Linked DNA regions of Caenorhabditis elegans. The protein of the gene in region 4 interacts with the protein of the main gene of each other region in a pairwise test. Each region holds a gene or a part of one and is shown on either strand. Other genes may lie near its edges. The genes, in order: pax-3, T22C8.3, flh-3 and ztf-16.

The links.
Region 1: the proteins of ztf-16 (region 4) and pax-3 interact in a two-hybrid assay, tested with the Caenorhabditis elegans proteins (one large-scale study listed by BioGRID).
Region 2: the proteins of ztf-16 (region 4) and T22C8.3 interact in a two-hybrid assay, tested with the Caenorhabditis elegans proteins (one large-scale study listed by BioGRID).
Region 3: the proteins of ztf-16 (region 4) and flh-3 interact in a two-hybrid assay, tested with the Caenorhabditis elegans proteins (one large-scale study listed by BioGRID).

What each region holds. Positions count from the first base shown.
Region 1 is NC_003280.10:10,143,728-10,153,472, reverse strand, and holds pax-3 (Paired box protein 3 homolog), read right to left. Parts: upstream 6,904-9,745; 5' UTR 6,626-6,903; coding exon 6,584-6,625; intron 6,154-6,583; coding exon 6,056-6,153; intron 6,011-6,055; coding exon 5,914-6,010; intron 5,216-5,913; coding exon 5,032-5,215; intron 4,623-5,031; coding exon 4,548-4,622; intron 1,518-4,547; coding exon 1,228-1,517; intron 1,169-1,227; coding exon 1,028-1,168; 3' UTR 608-1,027; downstream 1-607. Other genes in the region: F27E5.3 (uncharacterized protein), read left to right, coding at 9,281-9,395. UniProt on the Caenorhabditis elegans protein: Transcriptional activator. Regulates the lateral/ventral epidermal cell fate decision.
Region 2 is NC_003280.10:8,618,980-8,624,867, forward strand, and holds T22C8.3 (C2H2-type domain-containing protein), read right to left. Parts: upstream 3,005-5,888; 5' UTR 2,996-3,004; coding exon 2,851-2,995; intron 2,766-2,850; coding exon 2,421-2,765; intron 2,164-2,420; coding exon 1,952-2,163; intron 1,873-1,951; coding exon 1,681-1,872; intron 1,633-1,680; coding exon 1,567-1,632; 3' UTR 1,406-1,566; downstream 1-1,405. Other genes in the region: T22C8.4 (C2H2-type domain-containing protein), read right to left, coding at 3,576-3,626, 3,677-3,865, 3,925-4,136, 4,240-4,513.
Region 3 is NC_003282.8:9,267,063-9,273,419, forward strand, and holds flh-3 (FLYWCH transcription factor 3), read left to right. Parts: upstream 1-3,033; 5' UTR 3,034-3,034; coding exon 3,035-3,364; intron 3,365-3,462; coding exon 3,463-3,801; intron 3,802-3,907; coding exon 3,908-4,303; intron 4,304-4,358; coding exon 4,359-4,556; 3' UTR 4,557-4,876; downstream 4,877-6,357. UniProt on the Caenorhabditis elegans protein: Probable transcription factor. May bind to the promoters of target genes, including micro-RNA genes, in order to repress expression, and acting redundantly with flh-2.
Region 4 is NC_003284.9:4,804,228-4,814,302, reverse strand, and holds ztf-16 (Zinc finger protein ztf-16), read left to right. Parts: upstream 1-2,762; 5' UTR 2,763-2,777; coding exon 2,778-2,850; intron 2,851-3,063; coding exon 3,064-3,119; intron 3,120-3,363; coding exon 3,364-3,508; intron 3,509-3,611; coding exon 3,612-3,703; intron 3,704-4,057; exon of another isoform or gene 4,058-4,195; intron 4,196-4,413; coding exon 4,414-4,482; intron 4,483-4,646; coding exon 4,647-4,736; intron 4,737-4,798; exon of another isoform or gene 4,799-4,939; intron 4,940-5,632; coding exon 5,633-5,857; intron 5,858-6,049; coding exon 6,050-6,229; intron 6,230-6,297; coding exon 6,298-6,423; intron 6,424-6,471; coding exon 6,472-6,675; coding exon of another isoform or gene 6,676-6,759; intron 6,760-7,426; coding exon 7,427-7,609; 3' UTR 7,610-8,305; downstream 8,306-10,075. UniProt on the Caenorhabditis elegans protein: Positively regulates the expression of ver-1 in the amphid sheath glia of amphid sensory neurons. Together with ehn-3, plays a role in somatic gonad development and is required for proper gonadal primordium assembly and somatic gonad precursor cell morphology.

The DNA.
Region 1 (9,745 bases), on a different chromosome or scaffold from region 4:
TATCGTCACTATTCGCGTAACTTATTTTTGTTTCATCTTGTTGACTTTCAACTTGTAGGTCAAAAATTGCACTTCCTTCTGGAGCATCTCCCCGTATCTGCTCACTTACTCGTTGGGTGATCCCTGAAATTGTTTTTCATTCAATATCTTCTCTGCACATTAGAAACTATTTCGCCCAAACATCAAAAACCGTTTATAGTTGAAAAACAATTTGTAGAATTTGATGATCTAGATGCGTAGTAGTTACATCATCAAGTTTTGAATATAAATTAAATTATTATTATGGATAGAAAAAAGAAAACAAAATATAAATAAGATAACTTTCAAGCTTCTGATAAAGTTTTTTTGTGAGGTAGGCCCGTGGGCCTGAATTTCGATCTGAATCTGAGTTTGAGTTCAATCTGAGTTTGCAATTAATTACATATAACATTTCAAAGCGCACGCATAAGCCAAGCGTAAAGTCCCAAAAACTTTAGTATATTTCTCTGGTTTTAAAATTTTGTGATCTCTAGTAATAAAATCAAAAATTGACTTTAATTTCCCCGCCTTCTGAATAAATTTGAAGTCTATTAGTTATCTCTGTAACATTCGTGATCGTTGACCGGAATAATAACTGAATATTTATTTATTTTTGTGTTTTTTACTTCATGAGATATGGAATTTGAGAGAGAATGAGATGATGGAAATCAAATGCTTGAGAGAGCACACAAAACTTGTACAAATGCTCAAGAACAATAGCGTCATCTGGAATAGGGAAAAAGGTTTTCACAGATTTTCAGACAAGTTCATACAAGTGGGAAGAAGAAGAAAACACGAAGAACTAGTGCAATGACCGTAATATTTAAAACCAAATTGATGAGAGGGAAGGCAAAGAGATTTAGATAAGTTTTGGGAAGAATGGGTGAATTCTTAAGGTAATGTTTTAAAATTAATTCTGGACTTTCAAATTAAATTTGTGTATCAATTTCTGATCGACTTTCAAATATCACAGGTTTTATTTGAAAGTTCAGAAATAAGTTCAAAGCGTTTAGCTTGATGATGGCGGAGATGATTGACTTGATGGGGGACTTGATTGGAGTATGTGTTGAAAGAATAACGGATTCAATTGAGGACTCGTTGAGTAGGAGGGTAGGAACATCATCGGTGAAGGCAGCAGCGTTGGGTAGGACTGAAAATCAAAGTTTTAGTAATTTGTTTTCTAATATATAGTTTCGATTTCTAACTAACCGGCGGAGATGATCCAAAACCTTGAACATTGTACTGTTGATACATTGGCATATTTTTCCGACATCTTGCTCGCCGATTCGAAAACCACGTCATAATTTTCTCTTCGCTGAGCCCTGTCTCCTTGGAAATGCTCTCTCTGGCGTTGGCATGTGGGTAAGTGTCTGCGCGGAACGCATTTTCAAGAACATCTAGTTGCTCGGCAGTGAATGATGTACGATTTCGACGAGACGATGCGTCGTTTGATGGTGAAGAGCCCTCTTCGTCATCCGATGACGATTTGCTGCATTCGTCTGAAAATTATTTTTTTGAAAGGGGTTATCATAGCTACCATTTTTGGGTACGTGAATGCATTTTTGAATTTTCATTAACAAACTCTATACATCCTCTCTCTATACAGACTTTCGAAATGTGGAACTAATATTTTTCATCTGCCATTTTTTTCATCCGTTGAAAATCGAAAGGGCAAATGTTCCAGGCGTAATTAAAATAACAAACATTTTCAATAGCATGCGACGTCAAAAGTTGAAGTAACTATTGCAACTAGAATATATTTGATACCAGGGAGGCTCTAATGAATAATGAGCATGCTGAAATGCCTTTCTGAAAGGCTTCCGGACTCGCCTGCCTCGAGACTGAAAATTATTTGAGTTCCGCATACGTTCTATTTCAAAAATTCAAAATCAGACCCCCGCCTATCAAGCATTTTCCCTCAAAATCCGGAAATCAATGAGTCAATTGTAAGGTATCTAACAGAGAAAGACTACGGCCTGCCAGTCGAGTCGCCCAATTACTATATATAATGTTGCGCCACAGTGGGTGGTCTCAGTCATGTCGTAGGCCTCTCGCATAGACACACTTCTCTAAAAATAATCGATAAAGATCGGGAGAGACCCTATTGCGGGTGGGGGAGGGGGGGTGTCTCTTCTAATTTATAGACTTGACACCTTTGTGTACTTGAGAAAGAGATATCATGTGGTGGAATGGACCCTATTAATTTGTTTTTATCGTTCCATTTTTTGACGGATCACTCCATCATCACCGTCGTTTCTCACATCCAAGTTTTATGAGCTGTGCGCTAATCGGTTTCTGTCACAGGAGTATTTTATAGTGACGGAAGGAAGGAAGGTAAGGTTATTTCTATACAATGTTCTAATTTGAAGAATGTCGATTTCAAGGATGCTCAACTTGATCTTTTATCTCATTAATATTTTTCATCCGTTCTTGTCAAATCAAAGCAGATTTCTACCGCACTTAGTCCTCTTTCTGGTAATAGTCTGCAGAAAACTTTAGCTACTTGCCGAGTAGAGTAAGATTTTCAAAAATGAATTCTCCCTTAAGCATACTGTAGTTTTTAACGATATCGTTCTATAATTCCCAATGCTCATTAAGAACGGCGCGGGGGAGTGCTATAATATATTCCCATTGAGCAATGTATTCTGAGCGTATTCCAGGAAGAAGAAACTTTTGTTTCCATTTCTTTTTTCACCTGGAACTTTATCACTCCAGTCTCTGATACCTAAATATCAGTCGTTGCGTTGTGTTTTCAACGGCTACCTATTTTTGGAAAATATTAATTTTTGTTACTTATGAATGTAATAGAAATATAGACATGTGGAAAATCATGGAAGTATTCTGACAAATTCGGGAAATTTCTGAAAAATCACGTTACCGCACCGCCGAGTTCAAACTTTGGTTCAAGGTTTGTGGTGGAGAGAGGGTAACTCGGACTCGGTAAAAACTTGATAATAAACAAGCTCACAATGATCTGTCATGCCTGCCTGCCTTCCAGGCAAGCTGACCAACACCTACTAACGATCTTGCGCAACATACCGTAACCCACATCCCTAACAATCATATTGTCAAATGTCAAATGTCAAAGTTTTAATGTGTTAAATTGCGGATATGTATTATGTTCGTATGCATGTGTTTGCTTTTTTTCGCGCATCCCAATCTTCTCTCGCGCCAGTCACTCGTGTGCCCATCCTGATCAATTGGCCGCGAAAATATGGAATTTATTGGATCGTTTTCTCCTCCTCCTACCTACCTATTTGAATAGGCACCTATCAAGTGCGCAAATCTTCTCCCCCTATCTTAATTGCTACGTGTATGCGAAAATGTGCGAAGTTGAGCGGTGGTTCACAATTTAAGGAATGACAAGATTGACGACAAGTTAGGAAGCGGGAAAAAACGGGACAGGAAGAGAGGGGAAGTGTTGAAAGTTTTGGAAGACAAGAAGTTGAAACAGCAGGAGGTAGTGGCATGACCCCTAGAAATTCAAGTAACTTGCAAAAACATAAGTTTGTGGCTGTCTAGTTTCTTATAAAAAGTAGGCTAAAAGTTTTGGAAGTTTTAAAAACCAAAAATTTCACTTTTATTCGTTCTATATAAACAGTCTCAAAGCTGTTGTTAAACTTGAATTTTCAGACAAAGATTTAATGAAACTGTTTGGAGTGCCGAACATGATAAAAATGCCTGCCTGCGTGCCTACAAGGTAGGCGTATGATGCCTGGAATTTGACATGCTCTTTCTTTAGATTACGATTTTCTTGCACAACTACCGTACCCTACCGAATGTGATTAACAACTGAGCACAGATCAAACAAGATTTTAGGATCAAAAGTGCCTGCTTACCGGACATCAAGGCGACCTACCTATAGGCTTCACAATGCAACATCAGACCCTAGACTTCACACCAAGATGTAGACGAATAGGCAGTAGGCAAGCTAACAGGTAGGCCTGAAGACACGCGGGACATTCCGGTACGCTTGTTGCAGATCAGGAGAAACAAAATGCGGTACACTACCGTAACCCGTAATTCAATCAGTCATGGTTCTCTCCCTGAAGATCTCCGTGGCGGCGCACAGCATGCAACTCACAAACAAATACGATGGTCTTGTTGATTAAAATCAACCCCTGACGCGTGCCCCCTTGTCTAATTCACATCATTCTTCACCGACGCTTCTTGTCCTTTCCGCCCCCACTTCTTCAACGTCTTCGCCTTTATCGTCTTATCACACCGTTAACATACACAGCGACATACAGGCGATACTAATCAAAGTGTTAATGACCGTTATTATATCAAAGAAGTCCAATATACAGTATGCCCTCTGGCCCCTTTGGGAATATTGGGAGGAATGAAAACTTTCATGCTACGTCTGTTTGTGTGTTACTATATGGCAGAAGAAAATTGAATTGAAAGAACGGAATGTTGCCTGATTGAACAGGAAATCCGACACCCAAAAAAGGTGTTGGAGGACATGAGACAAACGGAACGAAATTATAAATGTGTGAAATCAAGACTATTCCAATTAGACCACTTACCAATTGAAATTCCCAGAATGCTGTCGATACTGTAGCTCAGCCGTTTTCGTTCCATTTTCTTCGGAACCCCGACGCCTGCAAAAAAGTATGTGGTGATTTGTGTGAAGATAAATATTGATAAGGAAATTAAAACAAAAAAAAGTGATAAGGAAGATATGATGAAAAAGTGCAGCAAAAAAGATGATATGATTGGCGTGAAGAAATGATTGATGAGGTTATAGAAAGTGATAATTTGATCGAATATGTCTAGAAGTTCTTCTTGTGAGGTTTGTTGAATTTTTGTGGAAAATCACGCATCAAAAAATGACGCCCAAGCAAGTTTCCATGAAAGTATTCGAAACAAAAAAAATCGTTGTCAACAGTTAAACAAACACAACCACAGCTATCAGAAGCGGAACATTCATCAAACGAAACGAATTTCTGTTTGTTTTTCATCTATTCCTCTACCTTTTTTTTGCCTTCACAGTTTTCATCATTATTATACCTTTATTCCCAATAAGCCTTTTTATCGCAGGTACTGTTGGAGCATTTCCTTTTGTGCAAATGTCTTTGTGAATAAGCCAATCTCGGAGCTCTGCAGCGCTCATTTGTGGATTCTCATCACATGCGATCAGAATTTCTTTCTCGACGGCTTGGACTGTAAGTCGAGCGCGGGGACTTCCACCGATCTGAAATTAATTCATAGATATTTATGTTTAAAAAGCATTTGCTTTCGCTAGGCTTATGTAAGAAATATGACGAATATTTTCGGCAAATCTACAAAACTGCCCAATCCCAGATTATAACTCTTTTTTTTATTAAATTAAATGTAGAAATATAGATAGAAAAATATTTGATCAGTTTGAAAATATCAGTTATTTGCATTGAAATAGTCGAGAAAAATTTCAAAAACTGTTTCAAAGTTGTCATTTGCCGAAAACGTTTTGATATCAGTTCTTGGAAAGTTTCAGGTTGTTTTTGAGATGATTTTAAAGTTTATAAATGAATAAAAATTGTTTTGTATATTTGCACTCCCCGTTCTACACTCTTTGCCGTTTTGCAACCAACAAAATGGAATTTTCAAGAATTCAAAGTTTACTTTTTTTGGAATTGTAATTACCGTATGTTTTTGGTAACCAAAAACCTAGTAGACAACAACTACTTTAACAGAAACACAGACATCCGACGCATTTTTTGAAAAATGCCGAAAAGTGCCACCCGGGGCGTCGCACCTGCGCGACCCGCCAAAATTGAGTATTACGGTACTTTTTTGAATCAGGACGACGACACGCGGCACGTGTAGGCAAACATTAAATTTTATGGTTATGATTCGCCTGCCTGATGACCTAATTAGCAAATTATCTTATCATCCAGAAAATGCACTGACCTGTCCCGGAGATATTGAGCCCGTCTCGGCGTAACGATTCAAGATTTTCGAAACAGCTCCATGAGATACTTTGAGTTGACGACTGATGTGACATGGTCTAAAAGATTATTGTTAGTGTTCTCTAGAAGTTCGGACTACTTACTTTATACCCTTTTTGGCCATTGAAATGATAGCATGACGAACGTGAATTGGAAGGGGTCGACCGTTGATGAAAACTCCACCGAGTTGGTTAACACGACCCTGAATTAATTTTGGGCTTCAATAGAGGCGGTGAGAAAGGAGAAGAAATTGAGACTTGGAAAACTCAAAACATATTTTCAAAAACTTTTCAAATGCTATGAAAATCTAACTTAAGGCTAACTATAGTAATGATACTATCTAATTTTTGTGATGCTTGATGAGCTCTATTAACAATAAATCAAAAGTTTCTATAGGCTACAACTTCAAACTGTATAATTAACAAGAGCTTAATTTTAGCTCCTTAAAACGTCTGAGCCAGTATAGAAATAATTCGAAATTAACGTACATTCTAGAACCATCTAGAATTTCCAAAAATTTCTTCAATCAAATTTTTCCGGGATACATCTCCTACTTCTAGACATTAAAAAATACCTGAGCAGTAGTTTATGCACTACAACTAGAAAACAACTTATCGAAACCATAGACTTACCTGCCCAAGAATGTGATTAAATGTGATAGAATCTGTGGTCATTTTGTTAGTAGTGGATGGGATATCAGGAGCACGTATGGCTGGCCCCCAATATACCGAATGTGTGAATATCAGGTATATAGCGTGAAAACTTAAGGAGCGAGTAGTTTCGAGGTGACACGCCTTGTCGAACTGTGAATGGGCGGGACGGCGATCCCGCCCACCTATGCGCATGCGCGGTCTGTTACAGGCATGCATAGTCTCGAGTACGGTAATCGAAACCAGCGAGACATAGAGAAGGGCGAAAGACACGGGCGGTAAGCATCAAAGGACGTACTAGTAGATGTTGGCGCGGGGTATGTGGGTTTGTTATCAGAGATATTCTGACTAGGAGGTGGATTTTTGGAGATGAAGATTTATGTGCTCGATGGTTTTGATTTGAAAGGTCAATGTTTGGTAGTAGCACCTGCAAAATGGTGATTCACCTGTGGATAGTCTCGAAGAAAAGGACATCTAGGAGCGTGCGGATCTTGCAGATTCAAAATATTTGCAGATAGCTACATAGATCTAAGCAGTCCACCGTGCTTCTGGGTGAAGCTAGAAGTAACTCTAACATGAAACTGGAACCAGAAACGAATACTTCAAAACTTTAAAAATCGTTCATGTCCATTAAAAGCTTAAACAGCGTTAGAATTATTCATGCTACTAATATTTGAAAACAGCTTCTTAATGGATTTCAGACAAAGTTTACTTTCTTTGTTTGCTTTTTCGATTATGTGATTTGTTGGACTTACCTAACACAAAAATAATTTTCTGATTACCAAAAACATACATATTCCAAAAGTTGCAATTTCACGGAAACAAGAACAGATAGAACAAACAGACAACTTTCGAGAGTAGTGTAACTTGTTGGCAATGACCAATTTCCCCATTTTCATTTCCAGTGTTCAAAAGTGTAAACATATTTTACAAACAAAAGAGGTCAGGAGGAAAAGTGCTTCGAGGATACGGTACAAATATTTCCAATGAGAAATTTAAAGATATGACTTTGCAAAGATCGACTACATTCTTGCCTACCAGCCTACGGGTAGGTTAATTTGAAATCTGAAAAAACTAACATATATATGTATCTGTAATTTGAGACCAGTGTTAGTTGTAAGTTTGGAAAAATAGTTGTCACCTCTATTCATTCAGATTTTCAAGTATTTCTATAACTATTCTTTTTTCAGTATCCCTTTACTCTGTCTTATCTGATTATTCAATTTCAGACGTTCTTTTAGACCTATCTGTTTTGTGTCGGCCCGACTTAAGAACCTACTTGTCTTATCTCGATCTACAATGTGCAAAACAAGTTCATCCGCGAACTGTCAATCAATAAATTGCTCGCAATTAGCGAGTCGGTGTTTGGGAGGGCTCGTGTTGGGAAAGTTTATGTCATTGAGATGAATAATGGTATTTTTAGTTGTTTACCGACGGTGTCTAAAGATATAAATCTATTCTAAACTACACAATTGGAGAATTATTTGTGAGTTTCAGTTAGAAACAAAACGTGAAAATATGTGAAATAATGTGAAATAATCCTAGTCATTAATCCTTTATTACCCCATACAAATAGCCTTTTAATACCGAAAACACCTGAAAACTACACGTGCATTACCCAATCAACAAGTAGGGCCCAATTTCTTTTTCGGCACGTGTCACATCATCATTTCCTTCTTCATCTTCCCGGATTGCGCAAGGTTGTCTTACACCATTTTCCTGATAATCTGGGACCATGTTATCAGGGGGACGAAGAAACGGTGGCGGTATCGTTTGAAGTGGTATGCGGTCATAATTAAGGGCCACGCGCCGATGTCAACTTTTGGGGGTCTTCACACCTTTGTAACACTTGGATATATCTTTATCTATCTATCCGGAGAAGTGTGAGATGATGATGATGCGGGGTTTTCCGCTATCTGAAAAGGGCATCATCTATGGAGAATTGATGGGCTGAGTGCGGGAGTTTGTTGACAAAATGTGAAAAGAGTTTGTCCCAGCCACCGTGTTACAGTGTCTCATTAAACTCTACAATACTTATGTCATTATTGTAATTTCTCAAATAGATGATACAACACTTTAAAGGCACACACTGTTTGAAATGAAACATTAGAAAATATACTAACTTCAAATTAAAAATATGAAATTCTTGAAAATTTAGCTTATTGACAGCTGTCTCCATTTATTGTTCGAAGTTCTGGATTCTTATTATTTGTATTTCATCATAAGACTACAGTAATCCAAACACCTTTCAGCTCGATTTCGACCGGTCTCCTTCTCAAGTTCTGCAAAAAATCTTAATTGACTATGATAGGTTGGGCAGCAGAGAAAGATTGAAATAGAACATCAATATTTCCCACCACATTCAATTTTTTTTTAGCATCCCATCACTAGAAAAATGATAGGGACGCCTTCAATTTATCAACACCCTTTAATTAGCAAATTAACGACTGACACATCATCGACAAAGGAAAATGAAATTGAGACTCGATAGTGTCGACAAAAAGAAGACGGTTAGCAGTGTGTTTTATAAGTGACAAGATAATATCCCCGCATGTCACATCGAACACCTTTAAGGAAGAGAGAGTACAACCACTTCCGACAAGTGGCAGATTGCTGCGGATTAGGAAATATACTGTTGCCTGCTCCCACCCGACAAAAGAGCCGAGGTAATCTTAGGCCATGTGGTGGGCATTGGTTGTAATTAGCCGGAAGACGGCAGGTCTGGAAGGATTTCAGTCTTTTCAGACCTGTGCGTGTCGAGACAAGAACCAGATGGTGAAACGGAAGCGGGAAGGTGGGAAAATTCACAGAGAAATTGTGTATTATTAGGAGGGGTGGGTTGCTCAAAACTTATGCCACCAAATCAGAGGTGCGCGGCAATTGTTCTATGCAAACATTAATTTATAGATCAAAAAACCTAAAAATTATAAAAATAAGTTAATAATTTTTACGGATGAAAAAAAAATACATGGAAATTTTATTTAAACACGTGACAATCATTCCCCCTTTTTTCAAAATATCTTGCTCTGATTAAAATTAAATTTCCACGTTGACAACTCCATCGAAATTTATTTTGGATTTCAATTCCATATCAGTTGCGAATGAAAGATGAGCGGTAAATATTCGGGTAAGTGTTCAGATGAA
Region 2 (5,888 bases), on a different chromosome or scaffold from region 4:
TCATAAATAATTTACAATCTATCACATGAACCTTTGAACAAAAAGAAGCGCTCCTGGAGAATATGAGCCGAGTTGGTCGATTTGTATCAAATATCGGTGATCACTCATTGTCCATTGTTTGAGAAACTCCCATATGTTTTCTGTGTTTGAGAAAACTTATTTATGTACACAGCGTTCATAACCATCACAAACATTCTATGGTTTCGAGTAAATAGGTGTCAAAATGATGATGTCATTTTGGAATTGATTTATGAGAATGATCATTATCTTCAAAGGTGGTCTTTTCACTTGTGGCAATCAAATGGGTCGTTGAAAAATTAGCTGATTTTTAAATTTTTTCAGAAACAAATGATCAAATAAACATTCAAAAAACTACAAGAAAATTCTATTAAAATACGCTACAAAACCAAATTATGAGATAATTCTAAATTTAATAGCATGGAAATGAATGAAAAATGAAAAAAAGAAATCAGAAATAGTACTTTATACATATGTATAATAAAATTTAACTTCGTTTGTCTATATTTGAAACAGGCAACTTTGTAAATTAGCTTTTCATTTTTACTTTCATTGTTTTCAATTTTGGACCTAAAGGGTAAGTTGAAGAGATCTGAAACTGCCGATAACAGACCAACAAAGTAAAATAAAAACAGTGAACTGTTTCATTTATGAACTTATTTGTCAGATTATTTTTCACTACCAGTTTTCATAAACTCCGCCAGACCTAGTAAACATAGTATTTAATAATACGTCCAAATGAAACAAGTTCAAATTAAAAAATTAAACTTTTTAAAATTTTTTAAAAAACATTGAATGAGATAGTCGATAACACGCATGTACTAAATAAAGTTTGCAGTAGCCATAAATATGCATGATCAATTAGATCACAGTTAATTTGAAGGAAATCCTCAGAAAACAAAGCTACAAAAATTGTTGCGTAGGTGGATAAACGGTTTCATAGTAAGAAAAATATCCGATTGAGAGAAGGAACAGAAAAAGATAAGAAATACAAATAGATATTTAGTTTTGTCTGTGTGCCTACTTATCTACTTGATATGTACTCGAGTACTCGATATGAATATAATTTTATAAATATCGTAAAATTTGCACGAGGATTCACAAAAAACTGTTTCATATGAAATTGCGTTGTTTCAAATATTTTCAGCACTCGTAGTTTTTTTGTTGGTATTTTCTGCTCAGAATATTTTCAAACTAAGAAAATGTCAGTATAATTAAATAGGCTTTGCCATGGTTATTTTGTGATGTATCCAGCAGGAAATTGGTATTTTAGACGCAACAATGCACACACGACAACAAAATCTCACACCGCACCACATACAATTGCTAAAACCAATCAGATGAATTTCCATTTGCACTTGATATTTGTTTTGAAATTAGAATATTCTAAACTTATTTTGAACAATTTATTCATCATGGAATGAAATGTACATTAATACAAATTACAGTGAACAAATATAATAGCCGCAAATTTTGTGAGAGATCGCGGAAGTTGTATAGTTTTCAATAAATTAATTTCAATTCGTGCAATCGTTATCGTGGAAAATCTCATTCATCTGGGAAATCATCAAAATAGTCCAATTCGTCCGAATCGTCCGAATCAATTCCTGCTAACTGGAAAAATACTTTTTAAATAAAATCAAATAATTAATAGTTACTAACCTCTCTTTGTTTCTTTTGCTCATATTTTGCTAACATTAAATCCTTAGTGATATCCAAAGACGTATCGAATCCAACAACTCCTTTTAAAGTGAATTCGTATGGCATTCCTTCTAAAGTTGGCATTGGGAGAACGGGATTTTTTGCAGCTTCTTGAAGTTTTCGCACGAAATCAGGATACACCTTTGAGAGCATCTGAAATTTTCAAAATAATGAGAAATTAATAAAAAATGTAAAGACGTTACCACTATTAAAATTTAATATGAAAACTCACACTATCATGTAGACTGAGTTTCATTTTATCATAACACTTCTCTAGGTGCACTCTCAAATTATACTTAAACTTAATAGGAGTGTTACAAAGTGAGCAGTATACATCTGGAACGTCTCCATGCGATTTCATATGACGCTTCAGTTTGTCCGGAGTTGAGAAAAGAAGTAGACATTCTGGACATTGACGATGTCTTTGCTTTGGATCAAATGCTCCTGGAATATAGATGTTTAAACTAATTTCAAACTAAAGTGAGATATTCTTCATCACATATGAAGTGCGCCAATTTACCCCAAATTTCAAAAACATGTCGTTTATATTTTGTTTTATAATCTATTCAAAACTTAAACTCTTCTCGAAATCTGATATGCAAGCTAATTTCTGTTTTTTGAATAGGTGTGAAAATGAACCGAATAAGTTTTTGATGACTATGTATATAGATTTTTAAAAAATATTATTATTTATAACTCACTTTGCTTTACTCCGTGTTCTCCGTCAGTTTCTTGCTCTTCTGCGATAGTATCCCGATTTGGCTTTATAGTCCTTTTTCGATTTTTTGACCCTACCATCATTTTTCTTTTAGATGGGTACAATGTCAACTCGTCTTCCAAATCATCATCTCCTTCTTCCTCTTCTCGGACTTTAATTTGTTTCGCCGATTTTTTAAGTATTGCATTGACTTTTTCAGTAGTGCTTTCTTTGTCTTTTCGAGTTTTTTGAGTCCTCAAAACACGATCTTGAATCGTTGACGTTGCCATTCTTTTTGATTTTTCAAATGTTTTTCTATTTGTTTCTTTATTCTGCTTGCTTGTGACATCTAAAGCTTTAAAAATGAAGAAAACATTGAAGGTCACAAATTAATAATCATGCATTGCAATAATCATACATTTTTAAAATCTCACTTTTATTTTTATTTGCCGGTTCGGAAATTGGGAGTCTTTTTGTTTGGTTTTGTATTTTATGAGCAATTTCCATGTTGCTATCTTGATCTAAATCAATAACAGGCTCTTTTTGCGTGGTATTAGCCAGTTGTTCGGTGGTTGCCATGACTGAAACAAAATTTTCAAAGTTTGTTGGTACATAGCTTTTCATGAAGAATCATCAATTTAAAATGTACATAAGACAAAGTATAAATGTAAGCATTTTTTCATAATTTTTGAGTATATAATCAGTCCTTGTGCTTTATTATAATTATCGATCGTCACTATGACAACCAACGAATAGAAATCGAGAAATTAAACAGATAATTTAGTTGGATGAGAGAAGAAAAAACTGATAAAAGCATGAGAGCTCAGCTGTGTGAGCTCAAATTTGCGGTGTTTGAAACATGTAGTTCAATAGAGCGAATTTGAAATGGACGGGTGGGGGGTCTTGTATGTGAGAGAGAAGAACGCGGTAGTCTCACTGGAAAAAATGTTTAGTAACACGAGAATATAGTTTGCTAAAGTTCCAAAATTATTTGCCCGATCCAAGCTATACTTTTAAGTTTGATGCTTCGAATTAATTTTCAAAAATAATTCCGTATGATGTTTATTAACGAGAAAAAATGTAGATTGAAATACCAGCTGTGGCAAAATGAACAAAGAATTGACAATTATGAAATTCCATAACGAATACAAATATCTAATCACTTCTCATCAAACAAATTGACATCGTCTAAGGCGTCCTCATCTTCTGACTAAAAAAATACTATTATCATAATGTTACGTATAACTGCAAATTACATACAAAAACGTCTGTGGGATATTTCGGGAGCATCACATCCAAATGAACATCAAGACTCATATCGAATCCAGTGACAAATGAATATCGATCCATTCTGTATGGCATTCCATTCAAAGTTGGCATTGGAAGAGACGGATTAACTGCAGCTTCTTGAAGTTGACGTAAGTAGTCCGGGTAAGCTTTGGCGAGCATCTGAAAAAAGTTTTCGAAATTCAAAATATAACACATTTTGCTTAAAAGTTTCAACTCACACTGCCTTGTTCCATTTCTTTCTGGCTCGGTTGACATTTGTTCATATGTTGCTTCAAGTTGTATTTATACTTGATTGGAGCATTGCACATTGGACAGTATACCTCTGGCTCATCTTTATGAGAATGGTCATGGCGTTTTTTCTTATCAGCATTTTTAAATAATGCAAAGCAGATATCACATTGGAGAGCTCGAATTTTCGGGTCTTCGCTTGCTGAAAACCTTTCGAGTTCAATTTTGGTAACAGTTAAGGTTTTGATTGTGGGATGATAAAGTGATTTACAGAATGTTGAGCATATTTATTTTGGTTAACTTACGAGCTCCAACAATTTTGTTCTTCTTTGCTGCAGCTGTTTCAGATTTCTTCTTCAAAGTCTCTTCTCGTTTCTTCAATCGAGCTTTTTCTTTCTGTTCCTTTTCCAATTTTTTCTTCATCGCGTCTTCCATTCTTTGTATCTTTGCTTCCGATGAAGTTGAAGATTTATCAATTCTTCGTCTTTTGGGAGCAACACCGGATAGCTTTGGTGAGTGATTTTCAATATCCATTTGATCACTACCAAATGAAGTTGATGTTGAATTGCTAGTATTCATATCTGAAAGAAAAACGGGAGTTTGATGCAAATGTCTCAAAATAAAGACATATTTTAAAGAAAATTTAAAAAAAGCTGTTGTGCAATGTGTTAAGAGTGATGTTGAGCAGATGACTATGACCACAACAAGTGAGCAAAAAGTAGAGGGAAACAAGAAAGAGAAGACTGTCATCTTTCCTTTCTTCTGGATATATGTTTATTGCGGTGCGATACTCTGCACGGTGCGAACAGATTGAGGAAATGACCTGACCTTTTTAACTAACAAAACACTTGCAACGACAGTGAAATAGTATTGGCAGACGGGAGAGAAATAGAGACAACAATAGAAATGGAACTGTTTTGAACAATTTGTAAAAATGATAGATTTGATAATTATAAACGATAATTATATAAATTGCAAGTTGCCTGTCTATGACAACATTATGACAAGCTAATAAGTTTAAAGAACAGATGAAGCAGTGCAATACTGAAAGGTACGCAACTGTCATAGAGGAAGCAAAATATGTACAGTAATTTTATGTTAAAATAAAATATTACAGCTTACAAAGTATAATACGATGTGCATAAAATCTTACGCCTGTCCGTGGCTGTTTACCGATTCTGTAAGTGACCATGAAGGATAGTTATACTGCACGACGGAAACTTCTCGGTTTTCTTGGTAGTACGGTAACGGATTAGCAACATCTGTTTCACTTTTCACCGTTGGAAGGATTTTCAGAGATTTGATGCAATTATTTTTAAATTCCGAGGAGTGCCCCAACATCGCTAGTGCAGAACATTTGCTAGCACCCACAGTTTAATAGTCATTCATTTAATAATCTTAAATACCGTCTGGCATGATAATCAATGCAAAGTATCAGTTTTTAGTTTGCTTTGAAAAAACCGTTCGTTGGCGAGATTTAGCGAGAAACGCTACTTTCACAAGATCCCCGCATCTAAGTCTGAAATTTGCCTGTCATTTCAGGTGCCATTCTCATTTTTTTCCCTCAAGACCTCCGCGATTCTAAAACTCTAAAAGTGCATCTTTTCATCTATCTCTCTTACTTTTTGCTGCCGAACGAAACAAAAAACGAGCATTTGTCACTTGGTTCTCGGGGTCGTCGTGTGCACGTCGTTAATCGTCCAGGTTCATTGGTTTTGAGGAGGTCGAATTGTCTTGAATGCATCAATATTCAATTTCACAAAGCAGAAATCTTCTTTGCTTTAGCAAAGAGTTACGAGATATTTGGGGCTCAAAAAAAGTATACCGTAACATTAAGATTTCTAAAAAAAATGGACGGTGGTTACTGTCGAATTTGCATCCACTGTAGATGAAAATTCCGCACTTCTTCTTGAACTGGATATTTTTTATGAGAAAACCTGATTCAATGCAAAAT
Region 3 (6,357 bases), on a different chromosome or scaffold from region 4:
AGTTTTGTCTTACTCAAGACAAGAAACATCCTGATAAAAGAGTAATAAATAACTAATCGATTAGAAAAAATGCACTGTGTTGTCCTTGGCGACTCATTCAATGGTCCCGTTGTGCATCTTTTTTCTGTCTATGATCTCTCATTTTAACACACTATTTTGTGAAGCTGTACGTGATGTGGAAGGCCATCAAATACCAGAATGTTGTATGGAACACAACTACTTTGTAGGCAATTAAACATTGTGTAAACTTTCCAATCTGTTTCTGATTTTTCAAATTGAAAAATACAATACTTCAAATAATATGATGTGGGTAGACAAACTTTATCATTTTGTTTTGACAACAGTTAATTCAAAAAGGAAATGTTTAACTGAAAGTAATCTTGATGTAAAAAGAGTTGACTTTCAAAAAGTAAATGTTCAATTCAATATTTATAGCGATTTTTAAGATTTCAAAGTGCCTTCATGATGCTGCTAGATGAATCAAAAACTTCATGATGTTTACTCTGTACTCAAAATAATTTATATCATCAGGTTTTTTACATCTTGCTGATCAATCACCATTTCCAGCTCTATTCTTCCAACGACCATTAACTAGAGAGCACATGCCAAAGAGAGGTACCAGATTATGCATACCATGTTCCCGTCTTCTTGAACCTTCACTAGATGGTTCAATAGTATAGGAGAAAGAGAGACGAAGACATCGAGAAAGTGTGAAAAAACGAGGCAGAGTGCGCCCGGGAGACGTCGATTGGGGGGAATGGTGGAAGGGTGAAGGAAAAGGGAAGAATATGAGACGATAGAGAGAAACGGGGGCACTGACGTAATTTGGAATGTATTGAGAGTTGGGGCTGACCTGGAATATTGAAAAGAGGGATCATAGCGAAGAAAGGGGTCGGATGACTTGGGAAAAAGCCAATTTTTAGAATTTGTTTCCGGTAGAATACAGGATCTCCATTAATTATAGATTTTCTCCAGTGTTTAATAAATATTCACAGTATTTTCCAAGAAGTTGTAAATAATTAAATACGTTTAAATTAAAGTCGAGCATTGAAAAAACAATAGTTTGATGACTAAATCAGTTTTGGTGGAAGACTTCGCAACCAAAGCAAAAGTTTTACAGAGGTTATAGTGGTAATTTTTATCTTAAATTTTAGTTAAATTATCTCTATCCTGAATGGTCTCATAGCATCATATTTCCATAATTTATAGCCACCCTGTATGTCGACTCTATGCTTCCAACCCCGAAATCATCTGCAATTAATCACTTTATATTTTCCACCAATCGAAGAAATTGTGAATTTATCGTCGCCCTCTTCTCAATTAAGATCTATTGTCTTTCAATCAATCATAGAGCACATCGCCTCCCTTCTCACATGCCCCACCATTCCATTTTGTTGCACACAGTTTCATTCTGTTGTCTAAAACTGTTGTCATCTGCCTGATGGTCGGGGGTCCCGTCTCATTTTTTAGTGTCCCGTGCAAATAAATGTGTATGTTTTGCCAAATGTTTTGAGAGGTTTAGAGCGATAATACGCAACAGTTTGGCGGCTCTTTTTATGAATTTGATGGTCTCTAGGTCTTACAGTAGATCTATTGAACCACTCGGATTATTGTGCTTTGAAAATCAAAATTGGAATTTCACATATTTCGACGGGTTTATGTGTTAGACTACTTTTTATCTCAAAGCAACCAAAAGCTGGTACAGTAACCTGAAATTTTTATTCGTTGCTTACCAACCGATTCCGAATTTCTCTCTTGCAGAATTATCGCATATTGTCACTTCTGCTCGAATCAGTTTATTTCCTATCTAGAATGACCTCACCAACTCCTTCTTCCAAATATAGGTTATTCTTCCCGGTTCTATCTATCTCTCCCTGTCTCCTCTCTTGTAGCCAAAGCGAACCGTCGAAAACGCAGCCTGTTCCTCTTTTCCTCGACAGCGTCCTCTTCATCAAAAGAGCCTGTGAATCGGCGAGACGTAGACAATCAGAGAGGGAGCCAAAAAGACGGGAGGACCCCTCCCGCGCGCGCTTGTCTGCGCACGGACCAGTTCACCCCTGCCAATGGTGTTGCAGTGGTGTGCTCACTCCCCCTCCACACATACATCACAGCGTTCTCTTTCTTCTCCAGTCTCGTCGCCCCGTTTTTTGGGTGGTCCGTTCTTGTGGGCGTGTGTGTGTATGTGTGTATGAGAGTAGGATAGTGCTTGGCGTCCCGGCCATCGAATCGATATTTTTGTATTAGCAGTGCGATTTTAACTTTGACAACATTCCCATCTAGGGGCTCCCACGTCGCTCCCAATTTTAACCACTTTTCTAGTTTAGCTCGTAACTTTGAAAACTCTTTAATTAATTTTAAACTTTGTATTGAATATAAATATGCTATTTCTTCCCGTTGCAATTTGATATATTAATCCTCTAAACTTGGGAACCCGGCAGGTTACACATGATCCTCGAACGTTTTTTCTGGTTCCTATTCATTAATTCATCTAATACAAAACTATAATAGCAGACAGCTGCTGTCTATTTCTAAACTCAGTGGATCATTGTTTGTTCCTCAGTGTCTGCCTCGCGCGCCGATCTTCCGATCCATCTCTCGCACATGCACCACTTTTTCGTTGGCTGTGGTCCCTACAGATGTGTGACTGTCTTTGTATTGAATGCTTCGGAGACGACTGAATCTTCGTATTGAATCTTCGTTTAATCAGCTCACTGTTTTTTAATACATGTTCATCCCTCTCTAATTCTTCATACATCTTCCATTCCCATTATTTTCATCTACCGTATTTCCTCATTTTTGAAGATCTATGAACGTTTCTGTGCAAAATTGGGTAGATAACTCTCAGGTCACACTATCTATTTTTCTAGAATTTTTTTGTTGTTTTTTTTGTTTTTTGTTTTTTTTCTGAAGGTCACTTATAAGTCTTGTGATCTACGCACATTTTTCAAAAAAAAACTAACAGTGCAGGCTGTAATCTCTAAGTTTAAGTTCTTTTATTTTCTACTTCTTTACATTTATGTTCTAACTTTTCAGAATGAACCTTGCGTCTCAAATTTCTCAAGCAAAAACAGGAAATGCAACTATGGAATGGGCAAAGAACTACGTATCAAAATTGAACGATGGTCAACTGGCTCTTTTGCAGAAAATGTACGCAGATCACCAAGCAAAACTGAAAGCTTCAGAAGATGAAAAAAAGAAGAAAGAAATGGAAGAACTGAAAATGAAAGCACAGCAACAGGCGATCCTTGACTCACTTACACAACAAATTCCCATCATGGTTGATGTCCTCCGATCTTCGACTTCTCCAGATTCACAGCCAAGCAGTAGTAGCAGTGTTATGAGCAGTACCGATGAAGACCAAATTGTAAGTTTTCACTTAAACTTCAATTTTTTGAATTTATAAAGTGTAATATTTTTGTTTAAAATTTATCGTTTCTAATCTTTATTCATTTCAATTTACAGACAGTGAAAGACGTGCTAATCGGAAAAATCAACAAGGCTCAGAGACAATCTTCACCGAACAGCTCGAAGCCGTACACTCCACGTGGAATTCGTGAACGTGTACTTTTTGATGAACATCTCTACGTGTTCGACAAGTGCTCATATGATAGCAAGAAGAGATTCTTCAGATGTGAACGAAAGAATACTTGTCCAGCACGTATTCATACACCATTTGATGCTGAACGAGTCATTCATAAAGTACAAGTTCACAATCATCCACCACCAACTACTTTTGATCTTGCACATTACAATATTGATTATGGAAAAGTCAAATCAGGACACATCTTATCTCTCAATGGGGTTAGTTTTATTTTTTATTTCTAGTTTCATTAGAGTCGGACCATCCTAAGGCTGTTTTTTAGAGTTGGAATCATAATTATCTTTATCAAAATGTTTAACTTTTCAGCCTCAACAAACCAAGAACCTATTGCCACCATCACTTCTCACTCCAAAATCTGATTTGGAAGATGAAACTCTTTCTACAAAAACTGAACAAAAGAATGCTTCAACAATGAATATTCTTCTAAGTATGACAAATAATTGCGATGGACGTAAACCAATCACACTTCGACTTCCTGATCTTTTTAACAAGATCTCAGAAATGGAAATACACGATATGGAGATGACGTTGACAAAGTTTTTGTTGGAGAACAGAGAATTGAGAACTGATTTGATTAGCAGAAATGGAGATCTTCCAGTATTCTTTCCAAATGCACACAATGATGAACTAGTTCTCTTTGTGGCTGATCAACATGAAAATGATTCAGTATTTCAAATGATTCGAGTTTCTGAAAGGAATGAGGTAAGTAAAACAGTGAACCTTCGATTTGAACAGTACAGAAATCGGAATTTTTCAGAAATCAATTCGTCAAGCAATTCAAGAACACCTTCAAAAAGTATCCAATCGTTCACTAATGATGAATATTTCATCCAAAATCAATGTTCCCCTATCACAGCAAATGATCGATCAATGGAGAACCGAGGAATTTATTCGATTAGATTCCTCAAAACCAAACTTTTGGAAAATCCATCATGTTTCCAAACTTCAAGATTAAATTAACTATGTTTTTGTTTATTTTTATTATCAAGTTCATATTCAATGTACTTCCGATTGCTAGTTATTTGTACTAAAGAGCGCATATTGCCCTCAAATATTTCATTCCCGACCCACTTTCATTTTATCGGGTGCTCCATTCCAAACTTTCATCGATTCGAAATTTGTATTTCACGAGTTTTAAATTATTTTCCAAATGATCTCTTTTCATTGTATCGCCAATCTTCCTCCTCTTCTTGTTTGGTTGTCATTTTTCCCTTCATCTCTCTAACTTATAAACTAACCAAATACGGAGTTATTTTATAAATATCAGTATTGAAAAAGTTCAATTGAGAAATCATAAAGAGATTTCCTCGCCTCGCCGTTCGGCTGAAACGCCCTGGCAAACTTTGACATCTTGTTAAAGGTGGACTACGGCCTGTGGGGAAAATAATTAAAGCACATTACAGGTCCTGAATAGCAAAATATCATAATAAAACTTTTCAAAAAAAAATTTCCAGGATTTTTCAAACGTTTCATCATGACATTATACCAAATCAATGGTTTTTTGATTAATTTCCCCACAGGTAGTCCACACTTTATGAACATTTCTAGAAGCACTCCATTTTTGCAATGTACACAATCTTTAAAATAGCAATTATTCAAAGAAAAAACACAAATGGATAAGTTCAAAACTTCAATTTCCATGTATCTGTTCTAATACACAATTATACGGATAGATGTAAATAGCAAATGTTTAAGCGGCATTTTTAGTGTAAGGTTATATATACAAAATTACTATATTGCTCCAAAAGTGATCTGTCACCCGGTTAGGTTTTTGATTCCAATCAGTTTTTCACATCTAATAGTAAGCGAGTTGTACCTTTAACTACCTATTTTCAATTTTCCATCAATCTACACTCAAACGTGGTTTGTAAATTGTGTGAGAATAACGGCGCCATAGAGCATATTCACTTCTATTCTAATGCTTCCGTTGACTAGTATATGGCTTTGCTATGGAATTTTTTCGGCTTTCATAATGATTTTTATGGTAGTATTGCTCTCAGTTAACGAACAGTTCACAAATTCATTTTACCGCGTTATAACAATGGATATAATTTTGAATCTTCTCTGTTGGATAAATACTTGGCCACATTAAATGGTTTTTAGAGAAGATGGCTTAAAATTTGCTCTTGCACTTTACGAAAGCTATAACAAAAGTATTGATATGTTCTATTTTGTGCAAAATGTATTCTTCCATGTCCAGAGTGTCAGCACAATTTGTATATGTTGTCATCGACTATCAACTGCACTATTTGAGAATTCGAGTAAATTTTGGAAAAGATATTATATTTTGATTTATGTTATCATTATTATCTATTCATTTTTTGCTGTTTAACTGTTGCACCGACCTGCAATAAAGTTTGATTATGATCTGAACAAATTTTATTCTGAACGATCAACAAAGGTAAAAATTAGGTTGTTATAAAATATTTTTAAAAAATCTAACAACAGAGTAATCGACTTTAAGTTTTTGTAACTGAATATAAGAACCTATCAAAACAAATCGTCTTTCTCGTTTATCCAAAAATTTGGTCTAATCTTTAAGCGCCTGGAATTTCAGGATCAATCGGTGTCTATTATACTTTATATGCGTTGTTTTGTCGGTGGATATTTTTTGGCAATTACCATAATTGGTTTCACAACACTGTATCAAGTTAGAAAACGACTTGCATCTCAAGATAACCAATATAAAGATTTTCTTCGAAAAATGTCTTTAATCACAATTACCCATACTTTTGTTTATGCAATGGTATTGGCTT
Region 4 (10,075 bases):
GGGCAGCCGAAACTTCCACAAATCGGAATAATCAAATCCGACGGCCATTGCTTTTTTAATTCTTTTTAGTCCTTGACTCAATAAAATCAATGAATTCGCGTCTCGCTGTCTTCTCGATACATTTTTTCTGGATACTTGATTTCATTTTTAAGTTGTATTTCTTTTTCCGTGACTCACTCTTCACATTTCATACACACTATCTCTTTCCTAATCCAAGGTTCTTGATGAGAGGACGTATGTCGGTACCTAAAGTGTCAATTTTTCAATTCCTGTTTTTTTGGTTATCATCCTAAAAAATTTCACGTCGTTTTCCAAGGTTATTGAAACATTATTGTACTTTTTGTGAATTTGGTGCTCTCATAACTCATTAAAGATCAAAACAAATTGAAAACATGAAAATTAAAATCAATTTCGGAACTAAAATCTTCGTGACACTGTAGATGTTTGACTTGATCATACGTTCAGACGAAACAACAAAACATACAGGAAGAAGACACATATGCAAGCATTCACACCTTCTCCTAACATCCTTGTCTTCTAATTTTGTAACATTTCCGAACGGACAAAAAACCACAGAGATAATGTTAGAATGATATATAATCCTTGGAAAACCACGAGATCGTCAAAATCACTTGTTCTCCCTCCAATTTTTTATCTACATTTGACGTTTTCCCAAATGTTCATCCAATTGTAATTCCACATGCCTTATCTATTGGAAGGTCATTACTATGTTCCAGACGCTCTTCTCACTGCCACAAAAAACCGGGTTTTTTTCTCCATCGTAAGGAGGAGACATAGTGCGGAGAGGGAGGAAGTCTCCCTGCTGCAGCTAGTATGGTCTGAAAAGATCCCGTCGTCTTCACTTTAACCTTGCCGACCTTCTAGGCCACCCGCAACGGCATCCCCTCTCCCCCAGTGCCTTCTCTCCAATTTTTTCATTCTCTTTCTTCCGAACGAAACGGTGTGAGTGTGTGTGTGTGTGTGGGGGTGGGCGCTGCGTTTTTCTGATGAGGTGCGCGCAGCTCGATTTTTTCTTTACATCTTGCGCCCCCGGGCGACAGATAGAGATGATGCCCGTTGCTGCCTGCCGCCACTGCCGCTGCTGCTGCCATCGACAGTTTCTTCTTCTACATCGTTTTTCTTCTTTTTTCTTCATCGTATTCCCAAAAAAGCTTGTTTGGCACCCCGCGACACACGCACTATCTCACCCCCTTTCTCTCTTCTTGTAAATGCCATTCAGAAACCGTCACCTCCTCCCCCCCTCGATCCCCGCCATCTCATTTTTTCATTGCCATCCGCGTAAAGTCGTTTTTCCGCCCTGCCACCCCCAGGTGTAATCCGCCCCATATCAGTTTGCCAGCTTTTGCACTTTTAGTTCTACCGTATCCAATGCCTGCGGTGCCCCACCCCCAGAGATTCCTTCACTCCATATTTGCTCCCCACCATTCCTCACACCCCAAATTTCTCTTCCTATCCTAGAACCTAAAACATAGAACCTAGATTTATGTATCGCAATCTTACCGTTCTCCTCCGCAAACGTAACGTCATACTAGATGCGAGTTTGCTCTCCAGTCACTTCACCCATCTCAATTACCTGTTAGCACCATCTGTCCATCTAGACCACCTTCCTGCTAGTCTCGAACTTGTAGTGGTGGTTACGCGCAATTGACAGTAATCCAGTATAGACACACAGCCATGCAATCATCAACATAATTGTGCTATAATCCACCTGGCATTACTTTGCCTTCCTTGAGATCCTGTTCTTTTTTCTCAGGTTCCTGAATCTTATTTTTGTGCTGGTTTCAGATTTTGATCATTGAAAATTTTCATTTTATAACATTTTTACCCTATCCACCCAATCCATCAAATCTCTTTTTCGTGTTTATGATGCAAATTTTGTGTAATAGTATATATGTTTTGATGTTTCGTATCTTACACACCATGTCTGGATGCGATAATTAATCCATATTAGTTCCTCCTGTTTTTTTTAATGTTCATCAACTTTTTTTTCTTATTGCTCCTCGTAAAGGTCCGTAAGATACCTACTGCCCAGCGAATACACACTTTACCACTTCTCTTACAAATATAGTAAGCACACAGTAGCTCGTCGCTATGAGTGCAAGTCAAATCCGGAGAAGCAGCTTATGGAGTACACGGGGAGGCATCGGGTTGAGATGTTTGGCCAAACCCGGAAACCGTATCTCGGTCCTTCTTCGCCTCCGCCGCCGCGAGACGACAAACAACTAGGCGAGGTCACCTAGCTGCTCTCAAAACCGTGGACCAGGCTCTCGCTAAATCAAACACACTCATAACAAGTCCAACTCGCAGTGGTTGCTAAAGAAGCTGGCTATCCATAAATTACTGCCTACTCCCCAAATTCGTATCCAGGCGCGTAACCAGTAATTTGGCGAGCCGTTGTAAATGCTTGTCAATGTGATCATACCTATGGATCCGGCTCCTCCTTTTCCCCCTCCTCCGCTTTTTTCGCTCCGATAATACATATTTTTCCAGTCACTCTTAGTATTTCCATTTTCCAATTTTCCCATATATTCCTATATCCGCCTGTTACCATTTCCTATACATTTCCTTTCTTATCTTCTGCCATCCGTAAACACACCTGATTATTGTGTGCAAGTCTCGTCGTGCCATATTCCTCGCTTTTTTCCCCTATTTTTCCTCGTTGTTCTTCTTTTTGTCGCCCATTTTCGTCTCATTACCAGATATTCCCTGTCAGGGTTTTTCATTTTGCTATGGTTATCATTTCAGTGATCTCAACAATGGATGAACTGAACGCTTGCACAGAATGCGGATTCACGACTACTGTATTTTCCGAGTTTCAAGGACATATAGGTAACCAACCTGTTCGGTGATACATGAATGCCAATTCGTTTGAAACATCCACCTACCCGCGCTTTGTCCATCTTTTTTTCATCTTAGAACGGAGACAAACCCGTAAAAATTCGGATTTGTAGCGGTTTAGTGAGCGCTTCAACCCATTAACTAACCCGCTTCTATTGCGTTTCACATTTAGCAACATTACCCCCTAATACTTTTTTTTTGCAGAGAAGCACGAAAACGAGCACAGCAGGTCTTCAAGCGGAGAAATGTCTAACTCGCAGGTATGTTATGGGAGAGTAAAATTCATCCAGAAGAGTGAGAGCGTGTGAGTGAGAGATATAGAAAAAAGGTTGCGTCATAATGCCATATTTGCCTAATTAGTGCCAGAGGTAGAGAAGATATGTGAGGGAACAACAGAACGTGGAAAAAATGAAGAGGGGAGGGATGTTGGATGTGACGTTGTAACACGTCTTCCAGACATGCCCCCTGAGACTCGTTAGAAACATTGAGACCAAGGCTTTTCAGACAATCGAGTGGGGAGATGGTATTCAGTCGTCCACGCCGTCGCCACGGTCCACGCCCCCTTCAGATCCAACGCCGAGTCCGGACTCGGATGAACATCTTGAACATCACATTTCGATAACAGAAATCACAAACACTCTCATCAAAAGTAAGTTTTCTTTGAATTGCATTTTCTTACACACTGGAATGTATTTCTATTGATGGTTAATTACCAAGTACCAATATGCAATTGTGAAACCTAAAAATTTCAGAAGAACCAGGCACCAAAGGACAAAAGACGGTTCACGTTTGCCCGCACTGTAATTTCACCACTTGTATGTCGCAACACATGAAAAGCCACTTGGTAGGTTCAAGGATTTTTACCCGTTTTCTTGAAAGCATTCTCTTGTTCTATAGGTGACGGAAGAGTGAAAGATACTTTCAGTACATTATTACGCATGTTCCCAAGGGTACAAATTAATTTTAGCATGTAAATCTGTTGATGGATATGAAAGTCTTTTCAATTTCCCTCTTTTCCACTTTTCATCAATTCCTTGTAAGGTGGGTCCTGTAAGTCAACACTCCGTGAACCTTTTCTCTTCTCCCACTCGCTCCATGCCGCTTTTCTCACAAACTACTGTTTACTTTCTATCTACTGTCCAGTTAACTGCGTCTCTCACTTGACCCTACTGTTTTTTGTTCCGACGGCCAATCCCATCACTTCCCGAACGGTCATCGGGATGAGTAGTAGTGGAGTGGTATGGGAGAAGGAGGCAGGCTCCTCATATATTGGCTTTTCTTCTTAAGGATGTTGCCTTTCATGTGAGCCGGTGTCATACTAATTGGTTAAGGCAGAATCTTCCGAGAAACCAAACCAAAAAAAACATAGATTTTCCCTTTTTCGGTTATGTAGTGACATCAAGCGGTAGAGATTGGGATGGGTGGAAGAAGATGGGAGGAAAAAGAGGCGTTTTTGGAAAAAGAAACGGGAAGACCAGATACGGGGGCAGTACAAAAAACGTGATGACCTTAGAAATCACATGACATACCAGTGAAGATTCTTGAACATTTCAGGAAGCGCATGAACGCCATCAAGGCCAAATGTACCAATGCGACATCTGTAAAATGCAGTTCAGCCAGAAGGTGAGCAATTTTTAAAACATTTTCTGAATCGGAATCTGGTTTTCAAACACTCGACAACTTTTGAATCATTTGGATTTTCCAAGTATGGTTATCGTGCTGATTGATCTTCTTCTTTGATTCCCTTTTCACTTTCTTCCTGTGGTTTATCAATGTTGCGTTTTCAGGCTAACATGCATCGTCATCGGATGCGCCACAGCGGTGTGAAGCCATACGAGTGTCGTTTTTGCAAAAAACGATTTTTCAGGAAAGATCAGGTATGCTTGTCTGGCATATTTTTTATTACCCTCCACCTCCTAGCCCCACCATTTAACGGCTGTTGCGTAAGAAGCCGCTGCCGCCTTCCGTAACTCAAAAATCGTGTTTTATCTTCAATTTACGTAATCAAATGGAAAGTGAAACTGATCTCCCGTAAGGAAAGGGAAATTGAGGGAAGAAGGAGGCGGCGGATTGCCGCCTGAAGGTCGTTTTCAATTTGGATATTTTCACTTTCCCGGAAATAAGAAGAGTCTCTTCCATGGATGGCAGGGAACTGCCGCAGTGCCCATCAACCATTTCTTCAAGCGCTCTGATGATATCTGTTTGCCCAAAACCGTTCTTGAAGGTCGACGAGCCTGAAGAAAACAGGAAAATCGGGGGGAACCAATTTGACGGTATTGGTGTCAGGTTATGCCGTCGAATATGAAAACGGTTGGCGCGTCTTTCTTCTCCGATTCTTCATACTATCCGACGACGTTGGTGAAGATGAGAAGTAAAAGACCTTGACGATAGCACGCGCATTTTCTTCGGAAGATCCTACCTCCCATCCTACCTTCTAGCATCTTCTCGATGTCTCCATATTTTTGCCGCTCTTTACTGTGTACCTTACCCCCAGGGCCAATCAGTAAAAAAAAGAAGAAATACCAACCGTCGGCGGTTTTTTTTTTGTTCTAGCTGCGTCTCTGATTGGTTCCCGAAAAGTTGAAAGCCATCACCCTCGCTCGCATCAAAAGGGGTTTTTATAATGAAAGACAAAGGTTGCGGGGCGAGGAGAAAACCAGAGAAAATTGTAAATTGTAATATTGTGTGAAAGTGAAAACCGATTTTTAGATGTTAAAAACATACCGTAGTCATGTTTTAAACATGTAACTTAAAATAAACCTATAACTTTCAGATGCAAGAGCATTCAATGACACATATCAAAACGGGTTTTGGTTTCGACTGTCCAGTATCACAATGTAACATGCAGTTTAGTCAGCACAATGCACTCCGAGCACACTTGGAAGAAACGCACACAATTTCGTCAACAAATCCCGCGTCATGTAAGCGATGTAATTTGATGTTCGCCAATTCGCGACGTCTTCTCCTTCATTTCCAGACAAGACATGACGATTCTGAGGTAAGAGATGTAACTTCAGATTACACGGAAACGTAACACATGATTAGCGAGCAGAACCTGAGCCTTATTAGGTGATGTTTTTCTCGTTCTCGGAGCTTAATTCGGTTGCCCCAAGAGACGCACTTTCCGTGGAATCTCTCTCATCATGTGATATCCTGAACGTGAACTCTTATTTCTCATTCTGATTTTCAGTCTTCTCCGAAAAAAGAAAACACGCCAAAAAGGAAGAAGCTGTCGAATGGAAATGCTTTGCCAATGGATCCTGCGAACATGAGCATAACAGAACAGTTGCAAAGAATGGTGAAATCAGAGTTTAGCCCTCCAAACACCGACACCTCCGATAACTCCACAAGTTCTGAATTCGACAAAATTGTAAGAATCTTTCTTTCGTTTCTTTTTGAATAAAAAGCATTTCCATGATTCCATGGTTTTATTTTCAGCCACCAAGCTTCCCTATGGCTAACCCAGATATTTTGTTGATGTGTCTAAACCAAATGAACCAGTTCAATGGATTCGGAGAAAACATCCCAAGACCAATGCTCAACATTCCAAATATTCCATTGCCGGTATCAATGAAACCTTCACACTTTCGCTAATTAACCTTTGCATTTCAGGCTCTTCACAACATTCCAGCAGTGGCAGCGATTGTGAAGCAGGATCAGGTGCAACTCTGGTCAGAGCAGACGTCAAGCTCTGTGAGTGTCAGTGCTCCAAGTCCGAGTGAACAGTCGCACTCGCCGCCAGCCAATGAGTCATCACTTTCGTTAACTGAAAAAGAGAAATCACCGACTCCCGAAAAAGAAGACGAGGAGAATGTGGTATGTGTTATCGCTAATAACAACTTGTTATTGAAAATGTCACCATTTTGTTTACCTTTTTTCGAAGTGCAATTAGAATTGTGAGCATCGTCAACAGAGTTTTTTTTTCCAAAAATTGGGACTTTTGATCCATTTCTTTGTTGATGCCAAAATTTGGTTTTATCAACCTTAAAAACATAGACTGATTAAATGATTGCCAATTTGTTGCAACTTTCGGAACGTTCTCATTTGAGAAAAAATCTAAAAAAAGAGATAGAAAAACCGAACATTACACCATGTATAGTTTGATGAGGAGGTTTTCAATTTCTCGTAGATGTCACAAGTTTTCTTTGAAATCTGAAGGATGATGGATTCTCTACATCACCCACCTTATCAGAACTATCAACTTTCTCTTCCGAAATTTGAATTTAAAGGAAAACTATAGGTTTTAGGTATTTTGAACATTTTGCAATGAGACTTCTCAAAAAATTTCAAAAAAAAAGAGTTAATTTTAGCTAAAAGCCCGGCCTTTGCCTTTTCCGGTTCGCAGCAGCTGATACCATTCAAAAAAAAGTTCGGACTGCTGCAGTTTTTAGCTAGAATTTGGCAGGTTTTTTCAAAAATTCAAATTTCGATTAAAAAAAACTTTTTAAAAAGTTTCTGTTAGAAACTTCATTGCAAAGCTCGTTAATTCGTGCGCTTTCTGTATATATACTCAAAACACTCATAACCGTTACTCATTTAATGGCATCTAACTCTAGAATTATTTTAGGAATGCTGTCATTGCGGAATGATGTTCTACGACAACACAATGTACCTGCTCCATAAAAGTCTTCACTCGGACGGTGATCCTTTCAAATGCGCATTGTGCGGAACTCAGTGCGGCGAGAAGTACATGTTCACTACTCATGTCATTTTTGCCGATCATAGTACTCAAGCAACGACTTCCGCCTGAATTCACCATCATCCAAGAAATATCCCCCCGATTGCCTTTCAGTTTTAGTAGTCAGTCTAGCGAATCCAAAACACCCCCATTCTTTCATCCACATTTTAATTTTTGTTTTTTTTTTCGGTTTTCTTCGGTTTTTTTCGATGCATATTCACAGTCAATTCTGATTACCTCTTTATTTGTCACTTTCTTTCTTCATAACAGGGAAACAACGAATGATTCTGCTTCTTCTCATTGATTCTCAACAGCTCTTTGTCTCTATCAAAAGTATTTGCCCCGTGTTTTTGTCTATTTCTCATCAATATTAAACCATCAAATATCATTATTTACATTTTTAAAAACTTTCTTCATCTTCTCCTGATTCTGCTCTCTATCTTGTTTCAATTCATTTGCACACGTGTCAAAAGTCATTTTGGACCCGTTAATTTTTTCCGTAACCTTGCATTGTTAGGTTTTTGTTGTTAGTGTTTTATTTTCCTTTCTCACCACCACCCCTCATCAAAATTTGTACAATTTCAATGATTTCTTCGAATGTATTTTAAACTAGTGAACTTCAACTGATATTCAGAATTTTTGAAGGCCTCCTTATCTGTTCCACCCATCCCAAACATTTCTTTCCGATTAGAATAGTAATTTTATCAAGCTTTCTCTCTGTCCCACTGTCCCATCAATTTTCTTCCCATTTCAAAATAAATTTTGTTGAAAACATACTGGAGAATAGAATACTAGAAAAAAGTCATGGTGGCTAGGAAAACGGCTAAATGGATTGGCAGGCAGTCTGTGATTGACATTGGCCCAGCGTATATGGTTATGAGTCGTGTGCTGCTCACTACGGACAATCCGGTTCAGTTGGGCAGTGTCCCACGGGGACTTGCCAAGAACCCAATGCATCAACATTGTGCTCTGCAGGACCAACAATAGTGGCTCTCTTTCTCATATTTTTGTCAAGATTAGCGACTACTAGATCAGTTTTATTTATAGCCATTTGTAAGGACATTTGAACTATTTATGGGTTGTTGTTTTATTTCAAACTGCATCTATATTTGTTAGCAGATTGATAAAAAGTAGAACTATCACAACACAAATTGCAGGTGCCTTTCGTCAGTTATCTGACAGAACATGATTGAGAAACACGGTTGGCGAAGTTTCCAGTTTTTGCCATATTTTTTTTACAATTTCGCATTAAACCTAAAAATTCATGTTTATTCACATAATTTGATGAATGAAAAATTAGCTTGCTGGATTCTGAAATTTTGCAATTTTTTCCTCACAATTTTATGCACAAAAAATTTTCAAAAAATTTTGTTGAATATATTTTTTGAACTATAAACAAATGTTACATTTTTACATTTTATGAATTTTAAAAATTCAGAAAACAATAAAAACAAAAATTCCGGTGCTTTTTAAAATATCGTTTTATGAATATTCAGTTTGATAATTTCCAGGAATTACTATTTTTTTTAATTAAATTTTTTAATCTCAAAGACGGAAGTGTAAAAAATTGTTTTAAAATTTTCCAAAGTTTGCTTTTTTTTTTCAATTTTTTCAATTTTTTCCAAAAAAAAACAATAGGAAAACAATCTTCGACAAATAAAAAAACAATCTTCGACGGAAATTCCCAGAAAGAACAGAAACTTGAAAATAGAACAATTTGAAAATCATAAAACTTTTTTTTTTTGATTATACATTACTTCACTTTTAAGTTTTAACGTTACATTCCTTTTTCAAAGTTTGAGCTTCAATTGACAAACTGCACTTGCTGAATCTCATTTTCCCGCAATGTTTCAACGCCGTTGTTCAGTTTTCCATACATTTCAATTAATGTCCTTTGTGCTGACATCCCGCTGTGACACAGTAACTAATCGCGTTGAAATATGTGACTTGAACAGTTTGCAATAATTTTAATTTTTTTTCGCTACGTTTTTCTAGTTGCTTTCCACATTCTCTTAACAGTTTGCTAGAGAAAAAAAATCAGTTTGCGGGAGAAGAACTGCTTCCGAAGAACAACTTTCTGATAAATGCGTTTTTGTTAGACAACCAACAAAATGTATTCGTGGAAGAGCACATTTTTCACTGCCAGTTCATGAGGTTCTCGTTTCCCTCAATATACAGAGATAGATAGGAGTATAATTACAATTATCGTAAATCATGATAAGAATCAAGGTAACACTCTGCGCATGATTGCTCGAGTCTTCAGTCTTCAGTCTGTACGTTACGTAACTGACCAAACACTGATTATCGTTACGCAAATTTGTCAACTTCATTTCTTTCCTTGACCTCTAATCTGTTGTAATCTCAGTTGTTGATTATGAGATAATCTTAATTAAACAAGTAAGCTACAAAAACTCATCTTATTCTAATCGAATAGTGAAAGTTTTTGACTGAACAAAACAATATTGATGATTTGGAGTAGTCGAGGAGACAGGAAGATTGAACGATGGTTTTTAACACAGCCAGATGATAGACACGGTG